4 linked regions of the Drosophila melanogaster genome follow. The protein of the gene in region 1 interacts with the protein of each later gene in a pairwise test. Each region holds a gene or a part of one and is shown in the gene's direction. Other genes may lie near its edges.

Region 1 (6,088 bases):
GCAGGCAGCCGGAGCAAATTACCAAAGCGAACCGCCGACGTATTCGCAACATTTTCCGGTTAATTAAGCATGGAAACGTCGACGTCAGAGACACAGCAGCCAACTGCAACAATCCAATCGGTTGGAACTTGCGTGGTTTTTTTTTAGCATAAACAAATCAGATCTGGCGATATGTTTGCTTTTCCCGAAAATCGATAGGCTGTCAAGTTATCGGCGCTGCTAACTGCAAAATGTTAAATTGTTAAAATGGCTTAGAAAGACAAAAACTTTAAAGGCAATTAAAGAAAATGTAATAAAACTCTTATGTTGTTTGTGTATATTGATCCTTTAAAAAAATTATTATTATCCTTAGTTATCGTGACATTACAGCTTTTTAGCTGTACAGAGTTAACAGATACCGCCAAGTGGCAACGCCATCAAATTCTGTTGCTTCTGTTGTGATAAACTAACGGTAAAATCACAATCCTTTATTGAGATTAACGGTCAAATCAATAGATAAAAGAAAACTTATTACATATTTAAAGAATGATGAAATTTTTAAAATTCATTGTATCATATGTTATTCGGCCACTGTAACCGAAATCAACCATTTTTGGCGGATGCTGTGTGTTTGTTTTGCTGACAACTATCGATTTTGTCAGACGCAGCATCTTTAACTGAACGAAAAAGGCGCGTGGTGCAAAATATATTAATTGATTATAGATCGTAGTGATTATATTTGAGACTATATGATGAAGCGACAGAATGTCCGTACCCTTTCCCTGGTGGTATGCACTTTCACCTATCTTTTAATTGGAGCCGCCGTGTTCGATTCCCTGGAGTCACCAACGGAGGCCAAAAGATGGGAATTCCTACAGAGTGAGAAGCTTGTTGATTTATTAACCTAATTTCTTAGTAATGAATTTATTTAATCAATTGTAGCCGTTAAGAACAACTTTGTTAGAAAGTACAATGTGACTGACGAGGATTTCCGTGTGATGGAAATCGTCATCATTGAAAATAAGCCCCACAAGGCCGGACCTCAGTGGAAATTCGCTGGAGCTTTCTATTTCAGCACGGTTGTACTGGCAATGATAGGTAAATTAATTATCTATTAAATATGATTTATTGAATAGATTATAATTCTGTTGTAACTTTCTTTAGGATATGGTCATTCTACGCCAGTTACAATTCCGGGAAAAGCATTTTGTATGGGCTATGCTATGGTAAGTGAACTTACAATCCCAATTTCCAGTCTTCTAAAGATATTCCCTTATTAGGTGGGCATCCCGCTGGGTCTGGTGATGTTCCAGTCTATCGGAGAACGTCTGAATAAGTTTGCATCCGTGATAATAAGGCGGGCAAAGAGAGCCAGTGGAGCTCGCTGTACGGATGCCACCGAAATGAATCTCATGTTGGCCACCGGAATGCTCTCCTCCATAATAATCACCACTGGAGCAGCAGTCTTTTCCCGATACGAGGGTTGGAGCTACTTCGATAGCTTCTACTATTGTTTTGTCACCTTGACGACAATTGGTTTCGGCGATTATGTGGCATTGCAGAACGACCAAGCTCTAACTAATAAGCCTGGCTATGTGGCGCTGAGCTTGGTCTTCATCCTATTCGGCTTGGCCGTGGTGGCCGCCAGTATCAATCTATTGGTGCTCCGATTCATGACCATGTGAGTCCATGTTCTATTGCAGGAAATATCTTATTTAATGGATTTTTAATCACAGGCAAGCAGAGGATGCCAAGAGAGATGAGCAGGATGCTCAGAACTTGGCTGGAAATGCCCAGCCGGTGACCTTCGATGATGAGTCCACGTACAATATGCACGGCAAGCTGCTGGAGAACAACTACACAACGGAGAACGATGAGACCGCCTCCCTGTGTTCCTGCACCTGCATGGGTGGCACCAGGTGCCTGAATCATGAGCAGTTCGTGGACCCGGACTTTCAGCCTACCGACATTATCGAGAGCACCTTGTGCCTGAAGCGAGCCTCCGTCTGATATCCGTACAGCCAGCTGTGGGACTCCTCATTGTAGGAGCCAGAGCCAATGGATCACCAAATCGTAGTTACAATCCTGTAGAGAACCATCCGCCGCCAAAATTTGGTTGTTAGACAAACCTTCCTCCCTACGTAGATTTTTAAACCAGGATGGGTCATAATACATATAAGTTTGGAGAGCAAGGTTAATAGTCTTTAAAAGGCAGTTTTTGCTTAAGAAATAATCGACCCATCCCATTATACACCCATATAAACATTTACAAAGGAGTAAAATCCAGGACATCCATGTCAATATCAATCGTATCATCTGGTCGGTAGCCTTGGAATCCTCTATTGCTTCCAAGGCACCGCCAAATCCATCCCATCTCGAATTTTAGCCGTATATTCGTTTATCTATGTAAGTACTATTAAAGTTTGTGCTCAAAACGGAGAACTGAGTTTTCTGAAATCGGGGTGTGTGAAATGTGTCGAAGTCGGAAATCGTAGTAGCCTATTTGTGAACATTCGGTGTAGTAATCCAAGCCAGGTTCAGTTCACCTCAGTATCAGCTAGCACGTACACGACTAAAATCTAAACCTGAAAAATTATACGTTTAAATATTCAGTCTTTTGCCGATTTTTGCCCCACTCAGACTGTTTTAAAAGCTCGATTTTTTTTTGTACCATTTTTTCGGTGTGAAAAAGGGGCCCTAACTTTACTATCAAAATGCGTGAAATTGTACACATTCAGGCCGGTCAATGCGGTAACCAGATCGGTGGTAAATTCTGGGAGGTAATCTCGGATGAGCACTGTATAGATGCGACCGGAACGTACTACGGCGATAGTGATCTCCAGCTGGAGCGCATCAATGTATACTACAATGAAGCCACCGGTGCCAAGTATGTGCCACGCGCAATTCTCGTGGACCTGGAGCCCGGCACCATGGATTCGGTTCGTTCTGGCGCCTTTGGCCAGATCTTCCGGCCGGACAATTTTGTGTTTGGCCAATCGGGAGCAGGCAACAACTGGGCCAAGGGTCATTACACCGAGGGTGCTGAACTGGTGGATTCCGTCTTGGATGTGGTGCGAAAGGAGTCCGAGGGATGCGATTGCCTTCAGGTAAGTTTTGGGGGTTTGGGAATTTATCTGAAAAAGTTTACCCTACTTTTCTCCAACAGGGCTTCCAGCTGACCCACTCGCTGGGTGGCGGCACTGGCTCCGGCATGGGAACCCTGCTGATCTCGAAGATCCGCGAGGAGTACCCGGACCGCATCATGAACACCTTCTCGGTGGTGCCCTCGCCCAAGGTGTCCGATACGGTGGTGGAGCCCTACAATGCCACCCTGAGTGTGCATCAGCTGGTGGAGAACACCGATGAGACGTACTGCATCGACAACGAGGCGTTGTATGACATCTGCTTCCGCACACTGAAGCTGACCACGCCCACCTACGGTGACCTGAACCATCTGGTTTCGGCCACCATGTCTGGTGTGACGACCTGCCTGCGCTTCCCTGGCCAGCTGAACGCTGATCTTCGCAAGCTGGCCGTGAACATGGTACCCTTCCCCCGGCTGCACTTCTTCATGCCCGGATTCGCACCGCTCACCTCGCGAGGATCGCAACAATACCGGGCCCTTACCGTTCCGGAGCTGACCCAGCAGATGTTCGATGCCAAGAACATGATGGCTGCGTGCGATCCGCGACATGGTCGCTATCTGACCGTCGCCGCCATCTTCCGTGGCCGCATGTCCATGAAGGAGGTGGACGAGCAGATGCTCAACATTCAGAACAAGAACAGCAGCTTCTTCGTGGAATGGATCCCGAATAACTGCAAGACAGCGGTGTGCGATATTCCGCCCAGAGGTCTCAAGATGTCGGCCACCTTCATTGGCAACTCCACCGCCATTCAGGAGCTATTCAAACGGGTTTCGGAGCAGTTCACCGCCATGTTCCGAAGGAAGGCCTTCTTGCATTGGTACACCGGCGAGGGAATGGACGAAATGGAATTCACAGAGGCCGAGAGCAACATGAACGACTTGGTTTCTGAATATCAGCAGTACCAGGAGGCGACTGCCGATGAGGAGGGCGAATTCGATGAAGACGAAGAGGGTGGCGGCGATGAATAATAGGATTAACTTCCCACTCAAGATCACACATGAACACCAAAACAGGCTAGCAGGGGAACCCATTAGGAAGGCACAACACATTGGATCTTTGGGCCTTAGCATATTGTGCTTCGAGGCCCGTCGGTTGTACATATTTCCTATATGGATTCTTCACTGTTCGATTATTTATCATTCACACACGTACAGAAGAAATATGTCCACCTTTGTTAAGCTCATGTTGCAATTGCTGTGATTTCTGGGTTACGAATAAATGTTGATTTATAAGCAGACAAGATTACCAACAGCATTTTGCATATTTTTATACCGTTCAAAAGGCATTGCATAAACCTAAACATTAATATATAAATATTCTGGATTGAATTGAATTTGAGGCTAAGCGCTCAATATCGAAAATCTATATTTTGTTGGCAATCATTTTTTAGAGTTGCCTTACGAAAGTGACAGCTTTCCTTTCTGACAGGCCGTCATCATTCAAGTCATTCAAGTCATTGAAGTCAAGGCACCAAGATGTATTTTCCGACTACTCCAGTTACCTCTCGCAGTGGCTATCTGCGCGGCCGAAAGCGCATAAATCCGCATCCCATATCGCAACTGCAGAGTGGAAAACCGACGTCGGAAGACGACCAGGATAGCACAAATGTTGATCTAGAAGAATCAATCAGCTCAAGCTACTCATCGGAGACGGACATCTCGATGAACGTGGAGGCGCAGGACACCAGCACGGATAGTGGTCTGGACACTAGCCAGGAGAGCAGCAACGAACCGCGCTACTCCCTTCGAAAGATGGATAAGAATCCTCTTTAGTGGTTTATTCAACTGAATGGTCTACATGGGTGTAAAGGAACAGCAGCAGCAGCAGTGGCATCGGGAAATACTTAAGCGCGAGCGAAATATTGAGATACTCGGTAACGAATTGAAATAAAGAGTTATCCATATCCAAAGTCTAGACATCGTCGAAGAGTCCTCGGGGTGGTGGGCCGACAATTCGACCATCTGTCTCCGCCTCGTAGTCGGGGTCTCGGAATCCCACCTGCACCTGAGTGCTCACACCGAAACGGTCGTTGATCTCCTCCGACAGGGATCGCGGTACGCCCAGTGCAGAGGAAGAAGCCACTGCCGCATAGTCAAAGCTGCCGTCGCCATCGCGCAGCAGCCCGTCGGCGGGCGTGCGACTACTGGTTAGTCCACCGGGTCCACCACTCCGGTATTTGCTCAAGTAATCGCTGCCCAGAACCTGATCGGTTCGGTTGAAGTCACGGCGTCTGGCCATCGCCTCCTCGGCACGCTGGCGGCGGCGCTTTTCCCGCGCTATAAGATCCTTTCCCTCCTGCACCAGTTCGGTAGCAATAGTTTCGTTTTGCAGGAACTGCTGGAAGCCGAGAGCATTCAGTGCCCGACTGCCGAGGCTAAACCAAGTGGCCAGACAGAAGGCCAGCATACACATTGGGAAGTAGATATTGAAGCCGTTCGAGATGATGCCAATAACATCCATGTGGCCCATGATCTGCGTGTACACCGTCTCCATAATGCGCTGAGGAATAGTTTATAAATTTTCAGTAATTCAGTGTTTACGAACATGTTTACTACTCACGTTGGGAATAATGTGTGTGTCCATATGGATGAGACCCAGGAAGTTGAGGCACATGGGTGGTGTCAGACGGCACAGCAGCATGCCGCTGAAGATCAGACTGTGCTCGTTGGTCTGGTGATGCGGTGCCAGGTAGTAGAGATTAAGGAAGCGTATCCTCAAGATCGTGGAGTAAGTGCAGTAGAAGAAGTAGCATAGAACAACCATAGAGAAGACTTCAATAGTAAAGAAGTCGTAGCTCTCCTTGGCCACGTAGATAACGTTGGCGAATATGGAAAGCACAGGGTGGCGACTGAAGAAGGTAAGCTCGCTCCACACCACCATGGCCGACATGGTGGCGGTCAGAACGCACATGGTCTTGAGGAACGGAGCCTTTAGCAGGCACTCCCAGTACCACTGCAGCGAGG
Region 2 (6,339 bases), on another chromosome or scaffold:
GACGAGGCCAGGATGAGGATGTGGGTATGGATGTGCATGGGATGGGCATCCAGCAAGTGGTTGTTGACTGCCGGATGCTTAGCAAGGTCTTAGCTGTTATTACGCTCATGTGTCACTTTTGCAGGACCAAATGCGTGTGTCTGCATCCTCTCGCCGTCTCTTTCGCTCCATTTTCATCTGTCCATGTGTGTGCTCATATTTTATTCAGCATGCGGTGGTTATCCAAATGCTGCGCTCTCGCTCGCACTCGCTGGCCACTCTGGATTTTTTTGACGTCTGCAGACATTTTGCCAAGTTAATCTCCGGTTTGTTTTCCTGATAATGGGTTTGTCAACGGTACTTTGTGATGCCCTCTCTTTCTGTCTGACTGTCTATCTGCCCCGACAGTAAGAGTGTGTGTGTGTGTGTTTGTGAGTATATCTATATTAATATTTGCATAAATGCAGTTGTAGTCGTGAGTGAGCTTTCTCCTTTTTTCACTGTCTGTCTGATGGACTTTGGTCCTTGTTTTTCGGCTTCGTATTTACCCTGTCAAGTGGTAAAACAAGTGAGAGTGATAAGAAGGGTTACTAAAATTGGGCGGCTGGTGAATACCCTCGTATAATGTTTTAAGCTAGAACTATTTTTCAATACAAAAGTTATAAGGTAAGGATAATTAAATATGTTTAAAGGAATGGATGAAACATGCTGGCAATTTCTGTGGCCTGATGTCAAATATACCCTTCCTCACTCTCTTCCTTAGGAATACCTAACACAGCGGTGCCCTAAAATGGTGTTGCATAGCAGCCACGCCCACAAGTTATAACTTGGTTCCGCCCCCAAATAAATCAAGCGGCTGTTGCAATTTTCTCGCAACTCCAAAGAGGGATATGCGTGATGTGGACGTGGGCGACTTCTCGTGCGGTTCAATCAGCTGCAATCTGCTTCGTCAGGATCAGCATCACCACTGGACCACATGCTGGTGACAAGGGCAGATCCACATCCAAGGTCTGGACGGAACACCTGTGTCGACTGGGAGCTGAATCCCTCACAGGTGTCCTGGCCAAAACACGCTCTGCCTGCTGATGGCTGATTCTGACAAGCTCAATTAGGGCGGGAGCACTCTAACCGGATTGAAATCCGGATTGCGATTGGGTGGCGGTAGTCCGAGAACACTGTTTTCGGATATAATGGGGCAAAAAAGAAACCGTTTAAATTAATTGCAGTTTTAAGCAGATTGAAAGTTGTTAAACAGCGAGCCAACGAGCTTACAGTCCGCAGTTGGCTTCGAAGTTTTCCCACCCGCTGCACGCACATTGCACCGCACGCACACACACTGCGCTTAAGATGATAATCATGTTTACGTGGCGTAAGTTAAATTGCTAACGTAATGGACTAACAGCAGGTGAGGACGACTCGAGGATAGAAGGATTCACGGAGCAGGATCTGGTTCTGGGAACTCGAAGTGCATTGCGAAAAATGTATCCTGAATTAGTTTAGTTCGAATTGAAAATATGATATGCTTCACTTAAACTGTTAGGTAACTAAATTTAAATCGCAATAAAATATTTTAGAAAAATTATTACTATTACTTATATTTTATCCGCATTTTCTTGCAGTGCTCGAGCTGTTCTGGAGCAGTTCAGGTAGCTCATGCGTGCGCCGCTGTCAGCGGCACATTTTGGGCTCTTTCAAGTGGCCAACAACCGGGATGGCCCAGAAAGAGACCATTTGCTTGGTCGTGCCACCGGTTGGGGCAGGGATTGAATTGGAAGCTGGAAGGACGACGGATCGCAACGCTTCTGTGTGGTGTGCGCTTCATTGGACAACTGAATATGCAAATTGAATTGAGCGTATTATCGACAAGAAGGAGGCGGAGGAGCGTCGGCGAGGAGGGCGTGGCCCTTGCAGGTGAGCAGCCTCGACTTGGCCATCAACATAATCGCTCAAGCCAAGGGCTTTGGACGGGATTGCTATGGCAATGGCGATGGCGATGGCTATGACGTTGCCGAGATGGAATCGGTGCCCAGTGGGCCAAGATGGTGGCAAATGGTGCACAAAATTAAAATTTTAATGGCTAACTGCTGATGCTTGTTTGGCTTTCAGCAGAATGGGTTGTGGAAGGGAACTTCGATAAGGATGGTGATGGGGATGAAGCTGGGCCAAAGAAAAGCACGATTAAAGCCAAGTCAACGAGCAGCTCTAAAATCATTGCGGCTTGCATATGAATACGGGAAATGCTGCATACTTCGTGGCTACATTGGGAACTCAAGTGTTGCATACTATTACGATGGAAAAAATAGGGGAAAGAATGGTTGCATAATAACATTGCCTGCTACTAGGATGGCTCATAAATCTTTAATGCCTGTCTCGCTCCGCTTTGGGATAAAACGCGAGATGATGGAACCTCTTAAAAAAGCCTGTGTTCCAAGGTTTTACCCCACTTCGTAGCGTTTTATATTTTATGTCTAGTCCAAACCAAAAATTTAAAATAAGTAATGCCAATGTCAAAGACAAAAATGAATGTTTGTGGCTTCAAAATATATGTTCCATCGAATAAATTGTACAGCTGATATTTCGTTTTTCTATTGGTACCCTTCACCACCAAACACCGGAGACACCTCACTGGCCAGACACCACGGACCCAACGGACACAACGCACAGCCGGAAGCCAAATCCCGGGCTCCGAACCCTGGTACGTGGTCCGTGGTGCGGGATCCGTGGTTGTGGCCGCCGATTTTGAGATGTTTTTGAGTGGCTATGAGAAGTGGAACTGCACCAATTGTTCCTGCACTGCGAGTGTGTGTATGGGTATTGGTTGAGTGTGTGCCCACACAGATATACTCACACACTCAAGTGCCCGGCTGATTGACGCACGTAAACAATTTACTCATTGAAAGAAGAGGCTTCAGTCAACGGCGAGCGCTGTTCGCGAGCGGAATTCCGCGGCAACATGTAGAGCAGCAACAAAGGCAGCGAACGAAAAACTACAGAAAATAAATAAAAGGAAAACAACAAACACGAATTAGTGCTATATGTAAAAGTCCAAAAAACCACCCGAAAATTGGACAAGTGTCGCCGGCGGTGGGCAATCAAAAAATAAAACATTCAGGGCATCACAGATGCCGCGATGACGGAGCCAATTAGTGCGGCGGTGCAGCGGCGGAGGCAACTGCTCCGCAGCGTGGAAAGTTTGCGCGGTCGTGTTCGTCAAGTGCTAAAATGTGTTATTAATCTGCATATTGAGTTTTTGGTAATTGATCGACGAACCTCTTCCCTTTCTTTCCCTGTCCAAATTGTTTTTACCACACAAGCGTAATCCACTTGGCCGCAGAGTTACACTTTTGTTGCTGGTTTAAAGTGTTGCAAACACATTGACAGATTCTATATCTGGTATATATGTACAACTGTGCCTCTGTCTGTATAATCTCCTTCTTATCTGGCCTTTGTGCCACTTCTGTTATCGCTCCATCACTTTCGAAATATTATCTGTGCTTTCACAAACAATTCTGTTCATTTCGGCTTTCATTCTAAAAATAGCTCTTTTATTTGGATACAAAAATTAAATTGTAATGCATTAAGTAAGCTAGTAGCAGTAAAATTATCTTACCATTTTTACTAAATGCCGTCTTCAACTAGTCGTATACGTAATCTTCATAAAAGTAACGTCACATTTTTGCATGCTTTTCTTAATGAAAGCTTGTCAACAAACTCTTAGCATTTAGCTTAACAATGGTCAACCGACTATATCTCTTAACCCCTTTTAGCCATTGTAATTTGTTATCGCTATTTCTGCTGCCATTTCACCTGCTATCACCTGTTGTTCAACAATGCGCGACCGGCAACTCTGTTAACAGCTGCAGCAGCGATTTGGAACATGTTAATGCAATTATAGCCAGTTATTGGGAACGAAATGTTAGAATGTTGGACGGGTCAGAGAGGGTTGGGGGTGCGACGTGGGGGTAGTTGGGGACTGCAGTGATTACTAGCACCGCTAATTAGACAATGTCGGTTCGGCCATAGGCAAACGAACGGTTTCGCAATGCATGGCACAGTCATGGCCAGATGAATAAGTATAAAGTTATTTCCGCACAGGATGATTACCCGGTATTAATTGTCTAACTAAATATACAATCCAACTTCCCTAACTATTGTATTTTAACTACAATACATGGATAAACTATTTTTACAGCTTCTTCGTTTGATTTTAACTTTTGATAACTACCTTTTTGGTGTAGAGTGTTTGGGGTAGGGTTTACTTTTCACCCCTTCGAAACATGCACCCAACATGAGCTTAGTTGGCCGTGTTCCTAGGCTTGGCTAATTTGGCACTAATAGAGACGCTAGTGACGAGGCCTTTGGAAAGATATTAGAGCTGAAATCCGAGCCAACATCGCCGAATGAATGGCGCGAATAAGGGGGTCCGGAATGGCGACCTGGATGGGTGGATAGCTCAGCCGGCGGGAAAGTAAGGCTATCACTGACCGTAACGCCGTCACTGTCATTGTGTCATTGGATACCGCAGTGCAAATCGAGCAAAATAAGCGATTTCCCGCTAATCCAATTTCCACCTCACCTCGCAGGTGCTCGAATCCGATGTGGCAGCTTTGCTGGATGAGGTGCGCGAATTCAACGACGACCACGAGGAGATGCAGCGCCTGGACAGGATGATCGAGGCTCTGCGGGACTATAGCGGACCCACGATATGCCACGAGTGGCCCTATCCCCTTATCTTCAAAGGCACAATCGACGAGGCACATGTCGCACAAATACTCAATGCCAGCGAACTGGATTTGGATACGAAGTTGGTCAAGGTGTCCGGCGGAAGGAACTGCATCCATGTGGAATCCGATGTGGTCACAGCTCAAAGGCGCTCCAGATTGCTGTGGTTCTCCAGAAGAAGCAGGGGGAAACGAGCTGAGCGCTTAAAGGAACCTAATCCTGTAGTTTGAGCTTAGCTCTGAGATTGAAACTAGTCCGAAATGCATATGAACAAAGTATTGTAGCCCAAGCTATAATCTGCCATTACAAAAGAGCCGAACATATTTGAGTATAGTATAATTAAGAAAGACTGCGCTGAGATGTCATTAACCTCCTTTAATTGCAAATTATAAATTGACATCCTTAAGCACATAATTTTTGAAGAAGCATGACATGTTAAAAAAAAATATTTGAAATATCATATTCCATCTAAGTTAAGAACCTTGTGTGATTAATAAAACGATTTCACTTGAAAGTATATTTTCATTAAGCCAATTATTTAATTATCCCAACCGTCTCTCTAACTAAATACATCAGGGTAGCCATTAAATGACATACTTGGTTGGTAAATTGTTCATTTCTGGTTGTTTCATTTACTGCGGTCGCCTGCGAAGACAAAATTTCGATATTAGTCCCCACCGCAAACATCTTGTATTCATGATATTTGCGGTGGGGATGTACATTGATTTTGACAGAAAGCACATCGGCACAGCGGCAAATATCTGAGGTGAATATGACATTCGGGGATTCCCCGCTCCCAAATTGTAGTTTCCGTTTTCCACTGGTCAGCCGCAACAAGTTACCGCACCTAATTAAAACGATTTCACACGCAGCTTCTTAAAGGCTCGAAAGCAAAAGTGCAAACAACAAGTGCTTTTATGCGATGTTTTTATATTATACGCTGGCGCAGCTATATTAATTATAAATAAAACCAAAAGAGACAGGTCCAGAAACAATAATAAAACGCGTTTCACTTCCCATCAGCGAATGTGTGTGCGTATGTGGGTAAATTATTCATAACGGTATTATCAGCTTTTCTGCGCTCTGCTGTCTGATTAAATTGCTCGACCATCGCCGGGAAAAGTCCAAGGATGCCCGGGATGCTGGGTGAGTGGATAAGGTTGCGGGTTGGGCGAAAGTGGTGGACAGTTGGCAAGCTTTTCATGGGCACACGGGATCTACAGTGGATGGTAAAGTCTGGAATAGAATTACAAATAATATAAATAATTACTTGTATATGATAAGTGCTTCTTTTTCTATAAAACAATATAACTTTTTTAAATCAATTTAATATGTACTAATATGATAAATATCATTGGCCTTAGTTAAACTTATTGTAATGACTCAGACTGTGCCTAATAAGCGAGGTGTCCGTTTCTGTGTGGGTGTCCGTAAGCTGGCGCATTCTTTGTCTCTGTGTTGTGCGCGCAATTTATCAACTCGACCGGCTATCTTTGTCGCCCGTGTGCTGTCCTTGTCTCTCCCATGTTCCATGTTCTCTGACCCACACCCTCCCCCACCACCCCTTCGTCTGACCCATTCGGCCTGTGGTCAGGGACAATTGCAGCAGAGCGCTGTAATTATTAAAAAGTAAATAAC
Region 3 (4,188 bases), on another chromosome or scaffold:
AAGTCTGGCCCCATCGCATAGGAACCCAAAATATATACACACAGACCGCGCAACTCTTTCAAAAAGAGGCCATAAATATTGTTCATTTGTAAATAAATGGCTAACGAAAAAGAAGAAAAACTACGAGTAGTGAAAATCCAACAACTCACAGAGCATATAAAACATGGTTCATGTTCATTTCCAGCACTTGGTTTTCTATTTCCAAGCCAAACACTCTATGGTGTTCCATGTCGCTGCGTGGGTGCTCATTTTTTATTGCAGTATCATCTTCCGGTCACTTTGTCAGGCCTCCAATACATTTCTCAAACAGTAACGACGGCACAAGTGTGCCTACTTGGGTTCGAACTTGAGTTATTAAAAACAGAAACGGAATCCAAGAAGTAATAGAACTACGTCCGACAAACGGAAGTCGGATAGACAATGTCGCAGTGTGGATGGGTTCTATCTAAGGGTTACACTGAGAGTTATGTGTTGTTACAGGAGCTTCTCATTCGAATCTCTTAATAATTAATTGATTTTGCACATTAGTTTCAAACTATTAGTCTATAGAACTGAGCAATAAAATGAGTAAGCTAATATATTTAACTTCATTGGTTATGCAGGAATTGGGTTCTTCTGCTTATGCCACTTAAAAGCAGTTCGCGTGACTGCACTTAGTTCAGTGGCACTAGAGTCCGTTTGCTCGGAGTGACCGGTCCCAAAACCACCAAGTGAACCGTCCCCCTAGCACTCCGCCCCAACACCCACTTACCGCCCATTTCCCCACCCACCTACACACGCAGTCGACGCACCGCGTTACGCTTTGAATATAAATTACACAAATAGTGCACACGACTTTGATGGCTGCAGCCGGCGACATTGAAAGCCGACAACGCTGCACAGTGGGTCGAATCCGAAAAATTATTTATATTTTAATGATAATGATAAGCTTAAAGTGTTGACTAAAATTATGCTATCTACCTCAATCATAAACATCACTATTTTCGATTTATCACATCCAATTTAATTAAAATAAACCCTTTTCGGTCTTTTTGTCGGTATTTTGTGTGCTTGAACAATGCATGTGAAACTTTTATACTTTCCAAGCTGAAAGCCCACAAATTAACCCAAGTCAAAGCACTTCGGTTCAAACTCTTTGGGTCACTGCAAAGACCACAGTGCAGATGAGCTGCCAGGAGCGCTGGTCATATCACCATGGCCCTTTGATGCTAATGACTCTGCCATCGCCTTAAAACCGGGGGATAAGCATCGATGGGGGCTCACAACGCTCCGAACTTAGCGGGCAATCAAAAACCGTGCTGAGGCAAATTGGCATGCGTGATGTAGATGAATGGAGATGCAGCCAGATGCAGCTAGATGCAGTGGCCAGGGGGAAATGGCGATGGATGGAGTTTCTGGGCGGGGGCAGAGGTACATATGTGGGACAAGTGATTTCCGCATCGCTTTCTGGATCGCAGCGAGCGGCTGCGTTGATTGATTGATTAATTGACAAAGGAATTGCCGTTAGTTTTCCATTCGCATTTACATTTGCATATCTAATTTATGAACGGCCAAGTCTTGTCCGGCCGTATGTAGTTCATTGTGTTAGCTATGCAAATGCTGTACTTCCGCTGCGAGCGTCTGCCCAAAGCAGCTTAATTATTCATTAATTTCAACTTAAATTCCATATTTGTGCCTGCAGCCATTTGTGGCCCAGTTTCGATGGCCTGCAGTTGCAGTTATCTTTCCGCTGGCTTTTGTCACCATAAAACTGAAGTGTTGCCCGATTATGAAATAATTATAAGCGTTCTGCACGCACTAACCGGTGATTTTAAGGGCGATTGGACTTTGATTCGGATTTTGGGAGATAGAGTTCAATGTGGGAGCTATTCGCATCGATTCTAGTACGAAATTAACTAGCTTTGTTTAGAGATTTGCGCAACTCGGGCATCTAGTTACCCGTTCCATTGTGTTTCAATACCCATGGAAATGAGAACATTTATGAGCCTCACTCGGCCCGAAAATTGCACCCAGTTAGCATCTATGTAAATTCACAAAATCTATAAAGTGGGACCCAATTTGCCACTGCCATCTGCCTCGACCTTCGTTTTCAGTGGAGGTGCTGCAGCATGCCTTGCATATTTAATCCGGGCTACATTGGACCCGATCCGCCCTGCTGTGACCCCGATTGCTTGGAGGAGGGCCACTGCACGGTTCCGGAGTGCGGAGTTTGCCCGGAGTCCCAACTACCCCGATGCAATCCCGCCCCACAATCCAACAAGGACGCGGCGAAGCAACCACTGGACCAGAAAGCCCAAAAAGAACCGAAGCTCCGGGAACAGAAGTAGTGGGGAAAAAGGCAAAGCTGCAAAAATGAACCAGGAGTCCTTTGGAGATGTGCTGAACACACAACCTTGTTGTGTGTTGCTAATATCTTCAAACATCTTGAGCTAAACCCATTTAGCTCATCATCTCCTGGGCATCGAACCGTCATATTGTAACATTATATTTCAAAAAAATTAATAATAATAATAAATAAATAAAATGAATATCTATAAATAATAAAAACAATAATAATATATATTAACCTCAAATTACCAGCTCTTTTCTATTTTAGCACAAAATAACTGTGGATAAAAAATACAGATAAAATTAATTCATTTTCTTATGATCTATCTAAAATGAAGTCAAATAAATTTAAACCAGCATTCTTGATTTAAATGTCAACAAAATAACACATAAGCGTACATACGCATTTTCTTCATTCAAATTTCAAGCACGAAACGTGTTGTTCTGGTCAAACATTTGTTTAAATTTCTCATTTTTCTCTTCCATTTCCGGTGAGTTTCGAAAGAGAAAATGTGGGAGATGTATTTATAAAATAAGATTTGCAGACTTCTTTCGAGTGCTGAAAATGGTTTACTTAAGTCGTCCTTGGACTCCGGCCATAAACCCTTTCTACATTGGCCCCTATCCGAGATGCGCAGTATGTCCGTGCAACTTCGACATTTACAAAGGATACACCCCCGGTGGCTGGCACAGTCGTTGCTATAGCAGCTATTGACGAGACGAGTACCTGTATAAAATGCAAGAATAACGGCGGGAACAAATATAGTTGAACTTTGAAACTGCACACCAATTAGCCTCGCACACATCTATGTAGAGAAATAATAAAATTGATTCATCGTCACCAAACTGTTGAATATTGCTGGGGAAATAATATAAATATTCCAATCGAAATGGCTTAGATTTCAAATTAGAACTCCTGGGAATTTTAGTTTATCAGGTCGCAAATTGTGTGAAAATAGTTTTCTAAATTCAAAATTCAAGTCTCTTGGTCATGTCCTCGTCTGTGGATCACGTGGTACACCACGTACTGGCCCCAATGGCAATCAACGTCCTCGATCGCGTGGTGCCAGTAATCCGCCAATTGGTGATCATCATGCATCAGGCATTTCTGGTTGATCACCATGTGTCGGAGCCCGTGATCGATGTATCCGGCATGATTCAGCCCGTTCGTAAAATAGTCTTGATTGTAAACGATTCAACGCCGGAGCACCATGTCGACCAGGAGCAGGTGGTCAGTTCGGATGACATTAACTACCTGATAAATGAAATTTCGCGAAGTATCCGAAACTTGGCCCGTTCGACCTATAATACCATCTCGGCGATGGCTGGAGAGTAGCCCTAGAATTATTTGTCATCGTGGTCGATCGAAAAATCCGACATCGACCCTCCTGATCCTCCAGAAGATCCTGCTCCTTTGCCCAAGATATGGAAATGGTTCACACGGCCATCGGAGTTGCGGGCATAGTGGCCCTGTTTATGGTAGTTTCCCGTTCGTTAACTGAAGTGGGTGGCAGGGTGTTAAACCAAACCCGTGATCCGATCGCTGACCTTGTGAGGCGCGGTGGTCCAGTGGCGGATCAGCTGTCCGCCGTCGAGGGCGAAACTCCTCTAGTAGAGGGCGATCGCATGGATGGCGCCTGCTCCGTGGTACAAAGTATTGGAGGCAAGGCATGTGCCTTTGTAGGACCATTGCTTCCTAAGTTTGGCAGTGAACATAATTCCGAGGGCTCCTCCAAGGAAGACGAAAAGGATAAAAAGGACTCGGAACCGGTAGTAGTAAAACCTGAAACACCGCCAGCGGCAGAATTAACCGAAGAGGAGTAGGATCTAGTCAGCAACTATGTCGAATAGAAAGCAAAA
Region 4 (6,440 bases), 2.0 Mb from region 1:
CTACCAACTAGCCATGACCCCGCTACCGGAATATTTCCAGGCCAGAACCAGCCGCCAATCCATCAAGAGGGCGGCCCAGCAATCTGTCAGTGGGGCGGGATTGCAAATGACCACACTCGCAAAATGTACTTGCGAAATCCAAGCGAAATATATGGTTCATGTGGTTCAAAATATAGCGAATGAAATAACAATTTAAAACTGGTTGACTTTATGCCCACATAGATCCCAAGTTGTATTGAATGTGCCACAATAAAGCTTAGTTTTATAAATCTTGAAATCTACTTGGACTTGTTATGTTGCCACAATCGATAGGCAAGGAATTAAACTTAAGCTCAAAAGGTCTAGTTAATACTATATGTATAGTGTATAAATTGCAATTACCTGCCATCTATACCATCTATATATTAGTTTATAGCCACTTTCGAAATGTCTCAACCTCGAAAGCCACTAAACTTTATTTGCGCGAAACACTCTACTAGCTTGCAATATTTTTAAGTGCAAAAGTTTGCGGCAGCAGGGGCAGAGTGACTGAGCTAATTTCCCAAAGATTTATGGCCAGCACGAAGCGCATTGATATATGCCAAATTGTTTACAAATTGATTGCATTATTAATAATGCCCACCGAGGGCCGATCAAAGCCTCTTTCGTTCTCATTCCGAATTCAATCGAAAATGTCAGCGGACAAGGTGCGTGGGGCAGCTGGGGGAAGCTGTGGATTTTGGGGCGCGTAAAATGTAAAATATTCCAACAAAGTACTCCTTATGTCATATGACAGACGACAAACTTTGGCAATAAATCAAACAACAGGCGACGAGCGCTGTTTGTAGGCGGTACAGCTTCAGCTGAATGCGGTTCAGCTCAGCTCAGTTCAGTTCACTTCGGTTTTAGCCTTCTGTGCGGGCATACAAAAGTGGGCGGTTGAGGAGGGGGTGGGGCGTGGCAAGAGAGGCACACGTGGAATACAGAAGCAGTGAAATGCCAAGATGCCACCGCTGTATAGACTTAATACACTTTCGGCACACACAAATTCACTTCCTTAATTGAAATTTTAATTTGAATACTTTGGCAAAGTTTTGGCCGACAGCCAGCTAGCGAGTGAGACAGCTCAGGCAGCAATAACAAACAGCCAAAAAGTCGCCGAAATCCAAATTCCCCGCCACCCATTTCAGGACCAATACCCCCCACCCAGCCCCTTACACAATTTCGCCCCGCGGATCCTTTGCGCTGGCAATCTCGCACAGGCTCAGCGAGTTTTCAATTTACGCGCCTCGCGAGTCGTTTGTCATTTTATGCGTCCTAATATATGGCATGTGCGTGCCGCTACAAGGATACCAGCAGCAGTATCCTTCGCCACCGCCTGGTATCCCCCCATGCTCAATTTTGAGGGGATACCAACCAGCAAGGCGTAACTAATCAGCACAGGCAATGATATGGCGACATCTGATGAATTGTTCGCACAGCCGAAGATTTCAATTGGGGGTGTTGGCATATACATATGTATATATATCTAAATGAATGTGCACGCAGAGAAAATTAATGTATCACTTACTATCACGATCGAAAAGCACTCCATTAAGTCCAAATCTGATGCCAAAATTAAATAAGGTCAGTTACTTTAAAATGAAAAAAAAACCCCCAACGTTATCTTTCAGCCGACGGGGAAGAGAAAAAAAAAAACCCGGCCCTTGAATTCGTATCATTAAATTACTACTTCTCATTATTGCCTGATATTCACAGTTGGCTCTCGGGAGCCATTTATAACGATTGCGATTATTCCGATAGGGAAAATGAAATATTGAAAACAGATAGGACGGCCAGTCAGTATCCGCGTGGAAATTATAGTGTGTTTCACTTTGCGCTATAGATAGATATAGATAGACTCTCCCACTTGCATGGCCAACGCCATCAAAGAGTTTTCATTGTGGCCCCGGGGATTCCCAGACGAGTGCAATTACTTTTGTTAATTGTAATACACACAACCCCAACCAACCAACCAACGCAGAGACACCCGTTTATTTGTCTAATGTGCGAGAGTGTAAAGCTTCTGGCTCGATAATGTTTACCTGGGTGAATACCCCACCACCACCTGGAGCTGGAGCTGGTGCTGGGGGGGGGGGGGTTATAAAAGAAGGCCTGTGATTTTGCGTGTGATTTTTGCCCCCCCTCGAAATTTTTTACTGGGAGAGCGTGCCAAGGCGTAGTTAGTGAGCGGCACTTAATACCCTGATAAGATGTGCGATTAGCGGGCAGCCAGTCGAATGGTAAGTTATGAGCACAATGGTCAGCGCTTCCAGCTGCCAAAAGTCGAATGCGCAATGCTCTAACCGGGGATTTTCGATCGGTGATAATTCAATTGATTTTTATCGCATATTAATTGTATACCCGATTTATTTGGGGGATTTTTGTAGGACTTAATGCATTTTCTAAACAAACATCTCGTATTAATGAGTACAGATATATACGAAACATTTTTCGCTGTGTGTTTATCTGATTTGCACACCTGGGTCGTTAAAATATATTTATTAGCATTGTATATCCACCTGCTTGGGCCCATCAAATTGACGACCCCATGCACACGAAAATAATTGTTAAACGTATTTATTTTTCATTTAACCTGCGGATTTAAGAACTTCCAAGTGGTGGACCTCTCGAAGAAAGAAGAGCAACTCAAGATTACAAGACCTAATCAACGGTCCCCTTGTTGCCAACGAACATAGAAAACTGCCTCTAAGACTTCGGACTTCATTTCAGTTAGCGTCAAAGACATTGGCAAACAACATGGGCGACAAGGTGTCTGGATCCGTCTCCACTTCTGGCCCAACTTCCTTGGCAATCCTCATGGACTCGGAGCAATTGGAGCAGCAACAGCTGGCCACAAGTTGTGGTAAGTAGCGCCGCAACTATTTTGCTGCTGAAAACAATTCAACAATTTCCAAGAGCGTTTGAGAGAAATTTCCCCTTTTTGAAGTGTAATAAATATTCCAATGCTGGGCGAAGGGGGGGGGGCGGTGTGGTCTGCGTGTTTACCTTGCCACAAGTATAAACAGCAAATAAAATAAGACAAGTAGAGGTTGGAGGAGAAAATGAGTCCGGTGATTTGGACTTCCTTTGGACGAGGCGCCAGAACGCATCTGGCGGTTATCCCCCGAAATTTTCGACTCGAAAAACCTGTGTGCACACAAAGAAAAAAAAACTAATTCAGATTAAGAGCGAGATGAAGATGAAGATGGAATGTGCTTGTTCGCCATAAATCGACGACGGAAAATAAAACGCTGTTAATTTGTCTAGCCATCCGATCTCGGCACTCCGACTAAAGCAATTTAATACCAGCCGCATTTGCAGCGGGATTCCCCCAAAAAAATCAAAGCGATCCCACCAAGGGGCATCCCCGATTCGAAAATACAACAAAAACAAAAATTAAATCACACGAATACATATTATAAAAGAGTATGTCCGGTGCCGGTGGTCAAAGAAAGCAAATGACACAGAGAACGACGGGGGCAGTGATGCTGTCACAGCAACCAGCCATAAAAAATCACGGTTTTGAGTTTTGGAATCGTAAACAACTGAAATCGTGCGAAAAGAATATCAGCTTTTATAGGAATATAATTTAAATAAGATATCATGTATCCTTACGTGTAAAACAAAGTAAACCCAAACTATTGAAACGATTCAAGTTGGTTCTTATAAAGGATTCAGACTAAAAGAATAATCTTTCCACTATGAACATAAAAAATGAGAATACATTTCAAAAATGAATTCAATTAAAAATCTGTATCTAAGTTAATATAAAGATTTCATTGAAATGGTTAATTTACATTTTTAAATAAGGAATTTCGTACGAAGAAATGTCACATCTGCGAGCTGTCAACCTTTGTTTTAACTCTAGTCTGTGACTATGTATTTAGATGGCATCAGCCGAATTTCCTGACTGCAAAAAATATTCAACAATTCAACTGTCACCTCCAGCTATGGAAATTGTTCGTTCATTTATCAAAACACAAGAAGTAAAACCGCAGATGTGAGCTCAAAAACGCAATATTACCATTTAAAAAAGAGATGGTTAAAGCAACGGATGACTCATAGATTTCATTTTGGGCGAATAACAGTGACATTAATAAATCGCCACAGGGAGATTCAAAAATAACGTAAACTTAGCCATTGGCAAATGCTAAGTTCAGTTCGCAGCTGTCTGATTATTTGCACAACCAAAGTCTTGAGAATTGGTTAAAAAAAAAAAAGTTCCCCATAGCTGATTTATGCCCTCGATAGAGGGTTCTTATCAGCAGCGACCTTCGAGAATGACCGATATTGAACTAGTTGAATGAGTGTCATTCTGATCCGTATGATCAGCGATCCGTATCACGGTAATCTAATCGTCACTTGCCAAAACAGTTGGGATTGTTAATCACTCACGCTTGTCGGAAGTTGTTATTGCGGGGCGTGAGTCGTGCCCTATAGTCTATGCAACGTTTTCAGTGATTAACCCTAATTGGTTATCTAAGTGTTGGGCCAAAGTGTAGTCATTTCGTGCACGCGAAGAAAAGTAACGATTTTGAAATAGGTTCACACATGAACAGTGGAACAGTAATCACTCAATGCAAAATAATCAAAGCTAATTTCAAACAAGTTGGTTTAAGTGAAAACGTTTGGCTGAATAAAGCAAATATTGTCTGGTGCCAATATTTTCTTTCTCTGCACGCGTATCTGTCATTTGGAATGTCGATTCAGAGTGACACGTGTGATAGCCCTCGTAGCCGCAGCGCTTGAAAAAGAACCCTTCGGATTGGCAAAAAAAAAAAAGTACCGGCGATCGGAGGAGGTAAAATGCGGTTGAATGGGGCCAATAAATTCGCGGCGGCATGGGTAATTCACCGCAAACGAGGCGCTAGTTCGATCATCGTATTAAATTTCCCTAAGGGCGACATCGTGACCTTAGCGCAACTCGCCGCCTGATAACAGCTTTATCAAACTCGGCTGCGACGTCAACGGCGGCAGCGGCAGCAGCAGAAGCAGCGGCGGTAGCCGCGACAGCGGCGGTAACCGTCGAGGCGCGGCAGCGGCGGCCAAAAGCTCACTCCGAGCGAAATCGAAATCAAAGAGCGAGCGGCGAGAGCGTTGGGGGGCCATAAGTTCGATGCGATTAGCCATTTGTTTGGCATTGCTCCCACGGCAGCGGCGGCGGTCACAGCAACAGCAATCGGAAGCAGCGACGCCAGCAGAGGCAGAAGCAGCAGCAGAGGCAGCAGCAGCAGTGCGAATTCGGTGTGTGAATTTTTCTATAAACTCCGGTCCGCCCTTATGCTGGCCAACATTCGCGCTTTATACGCTTGATACGAAGCATAACGCCGCTATGTGAGCGCTGCCGCACCAAAGTCTGACCTTCACACACTGTCGAAATTTTGCACAACTCTTGCCACAAAGCAAAAAAAAAATAAACGGTAGCAGTCAGCCAGCAAACAAACAACGCTGCAAGCAAACCAACAAACAAACAAAGAAACAAACAAACACAAAAATAAACAAACAAACAAGACAAGAAACAAACAGCGACTAGCAGTCGATACAAAAGTTCCTAAATCCAAGTCACAGTTCCTAAGCAGTTGGATTGCAGCAGCACTAACTTCGCAACAGCAGCAGCAACTTGGCAACAGCAGCAACATCGCAACAGCAGCAGCAACTTCGCAGCAACAGCAGCTAAAAGCAGCAACATGACAGCACTGGGATTAGTTCTGCTATCGATGATGGGTAAGTGCCGGGTGTTAGGGTGCTTTTCCTTATCGCCATGCCCCTGAGAACTTACCAATTGTGCAGATAGCACCCGGTATGGGAATGTGGGGCTATAAGATCGGGTTTTTTTTTTGAATTCCTGAGCGCCCAGCAAGTGCAATCTGCGTCAGCTGAGCGCACTGATAGCCCAGAGATAATATATGCATCGAACTGTGATAGGTGTTTCCATATATGTATGTATATATGTATATGTGCCGTATGCTGTCAGAAATGTGATTTTTTGTTTCAATTAATTACTGACATTTAACAAAATTGTCATTTACGGCCTGACAGGCAGGCAGCGAGCGAGTGAAATGGTTTTTGATTTTAATATTCATAATTATAATCGCACCCTAACCGCGAACGAGAGTTGCTCATTTAGCCAAAAAGTCAGCTTTCATGCACATAATAATAAACAATTTCAAAAAATGAAATAAACAAATTCCAAAATGTTCCCTGAGTTTTCAAGTCCAAAACGAAATGTAAGCACGTAATGTTCTAATTTCACGAAGGTGAATGAAAATACGTCACTATGTTTTGGTGAATAAAATAATAGAATAATCATGATTAATCAAATAATAATATAATAACAATTCCACTCTAAATGCATCCTTTAGATCCGTGTGTTCCTTGCGTATTTCAATCTTTAAAATAGTAGAATAAATTTCGAACTT

Evidence for each region.
Region 2: the proteins of betaTub85D (region 1) and CG13707 interact in a two-hybrid assay, tested with the Drosophila melanogaster proteins (one large-scale study listed by BioGRID).
Region 3: the proteins of betaTub85D (region 1) and CG42659 interact in a two-hybrid assay, tested with the Drosophila melanogaster proteins (one large-scale study listed by BioGRID).
Region 4: the proteins of betaTub85D (region 1) and PGRP-LB interact in a two-hybrid assay, tested with the Drosophila melanogaster proteins (one large-scale study listed by BioGRID).

The regions. Positions count from the first base shown.
Region 1 is NT_033777.3:9,406,658-9,412,745, reverse strand, and holds betaTub85D (beta-Tubulin at 85D), read left to right. Parts: upstream 1-2,463; 5' UTR 2,464-2,693; coding exon 2,694-3,086; intron 3,087-3,145; coding exon 3,146-4,093; 3' UTR 4,094-4,363; downstream 4,364-6,088. Other genes in the region: alpha-Man-IIa (alpha-Mannosidase class II a), read right to left, coding at 1-52; Task7 (TWIK-related acid-sensitive K[+] channel 7), read left to right, coding at 729-858, 922-1,077, 1,144-1,205, 1,260-1,660, 1,716-1,989; CG44261 (uncharacterized protein), read left to right, coding at 4,601-4,897; CG8135 (uncharacterized protein), read right to left, coding at 5,037-5,624, 5,685-6,088. UniProt on the Drosophila melanogaster protein: Tubulin is the major constituent of microtubules, a cylinder consisting of laterally associated linear protofilaments composed of alpha- and beta-tubulin heterodimers.
Region 2 is NT_037436.4:4,836,671-4,843,009, reverse strand, and holds CG13707 (uncharacterized protein), read left to right. Parts: upstream 1-2,901; 5' UTR 2,902-3,109; coding exon 3,110-3,232; exon of another isoform or gene 3,233-4,086; intron 4,087-4,171; exon of another isoform or gene 4,172-4,447; intron 4,448-4,562; coding exon 4,563-4,931; 3' UTR 4,932-5,219; downstream 5,220-6,339.
Region 3 is NT_033779.5:18,004,675-18,008,862, forward strand, and holds CG42659 (uncharacterized protein), read left to right. Parts: upstream 1-2,685; 5' UTR 2,686-2,819; intron 2,820-2,873; 5' UTR 2,874-2,893; coding exon 2,894-3,043; 3' UTR 3,044-3,168; downstream 3,169-4,188. Other genes in the region: CG5693 (uncharacterized protein), read left to right, coding at 2,109-2,327; CG42634 (uncharacterized protein), read left to right, coding at 3,320-3,664; CG42635 (uncharacterized protein), read left to right, coding at 3,754-4,152.
Region 4 is NT_033777.3:11,456,891-11,463,330, reverse strand, and holds the start of PGRP-LB (peptidoglycan recognition protein LB), read left to right. Parts: upstream 1-2,778; coding exon 2,779-2,884; intron 2,885-5,310; exon of another isoform or gene 5,311-5,708; coding exon of another isoform or gene 5,709-5,745; intron 5,746-6,440. UniProt on the Drosophila melanogaster protein: N-acetylmuramyl-L-alanine amidase involved in innate immunity by degrading bacterial peptidoglycans (PGN). Probably plays a scavenger role by digesting biologically active PGN into biologically inactive fragments. Has no direct bacteriolytic activity.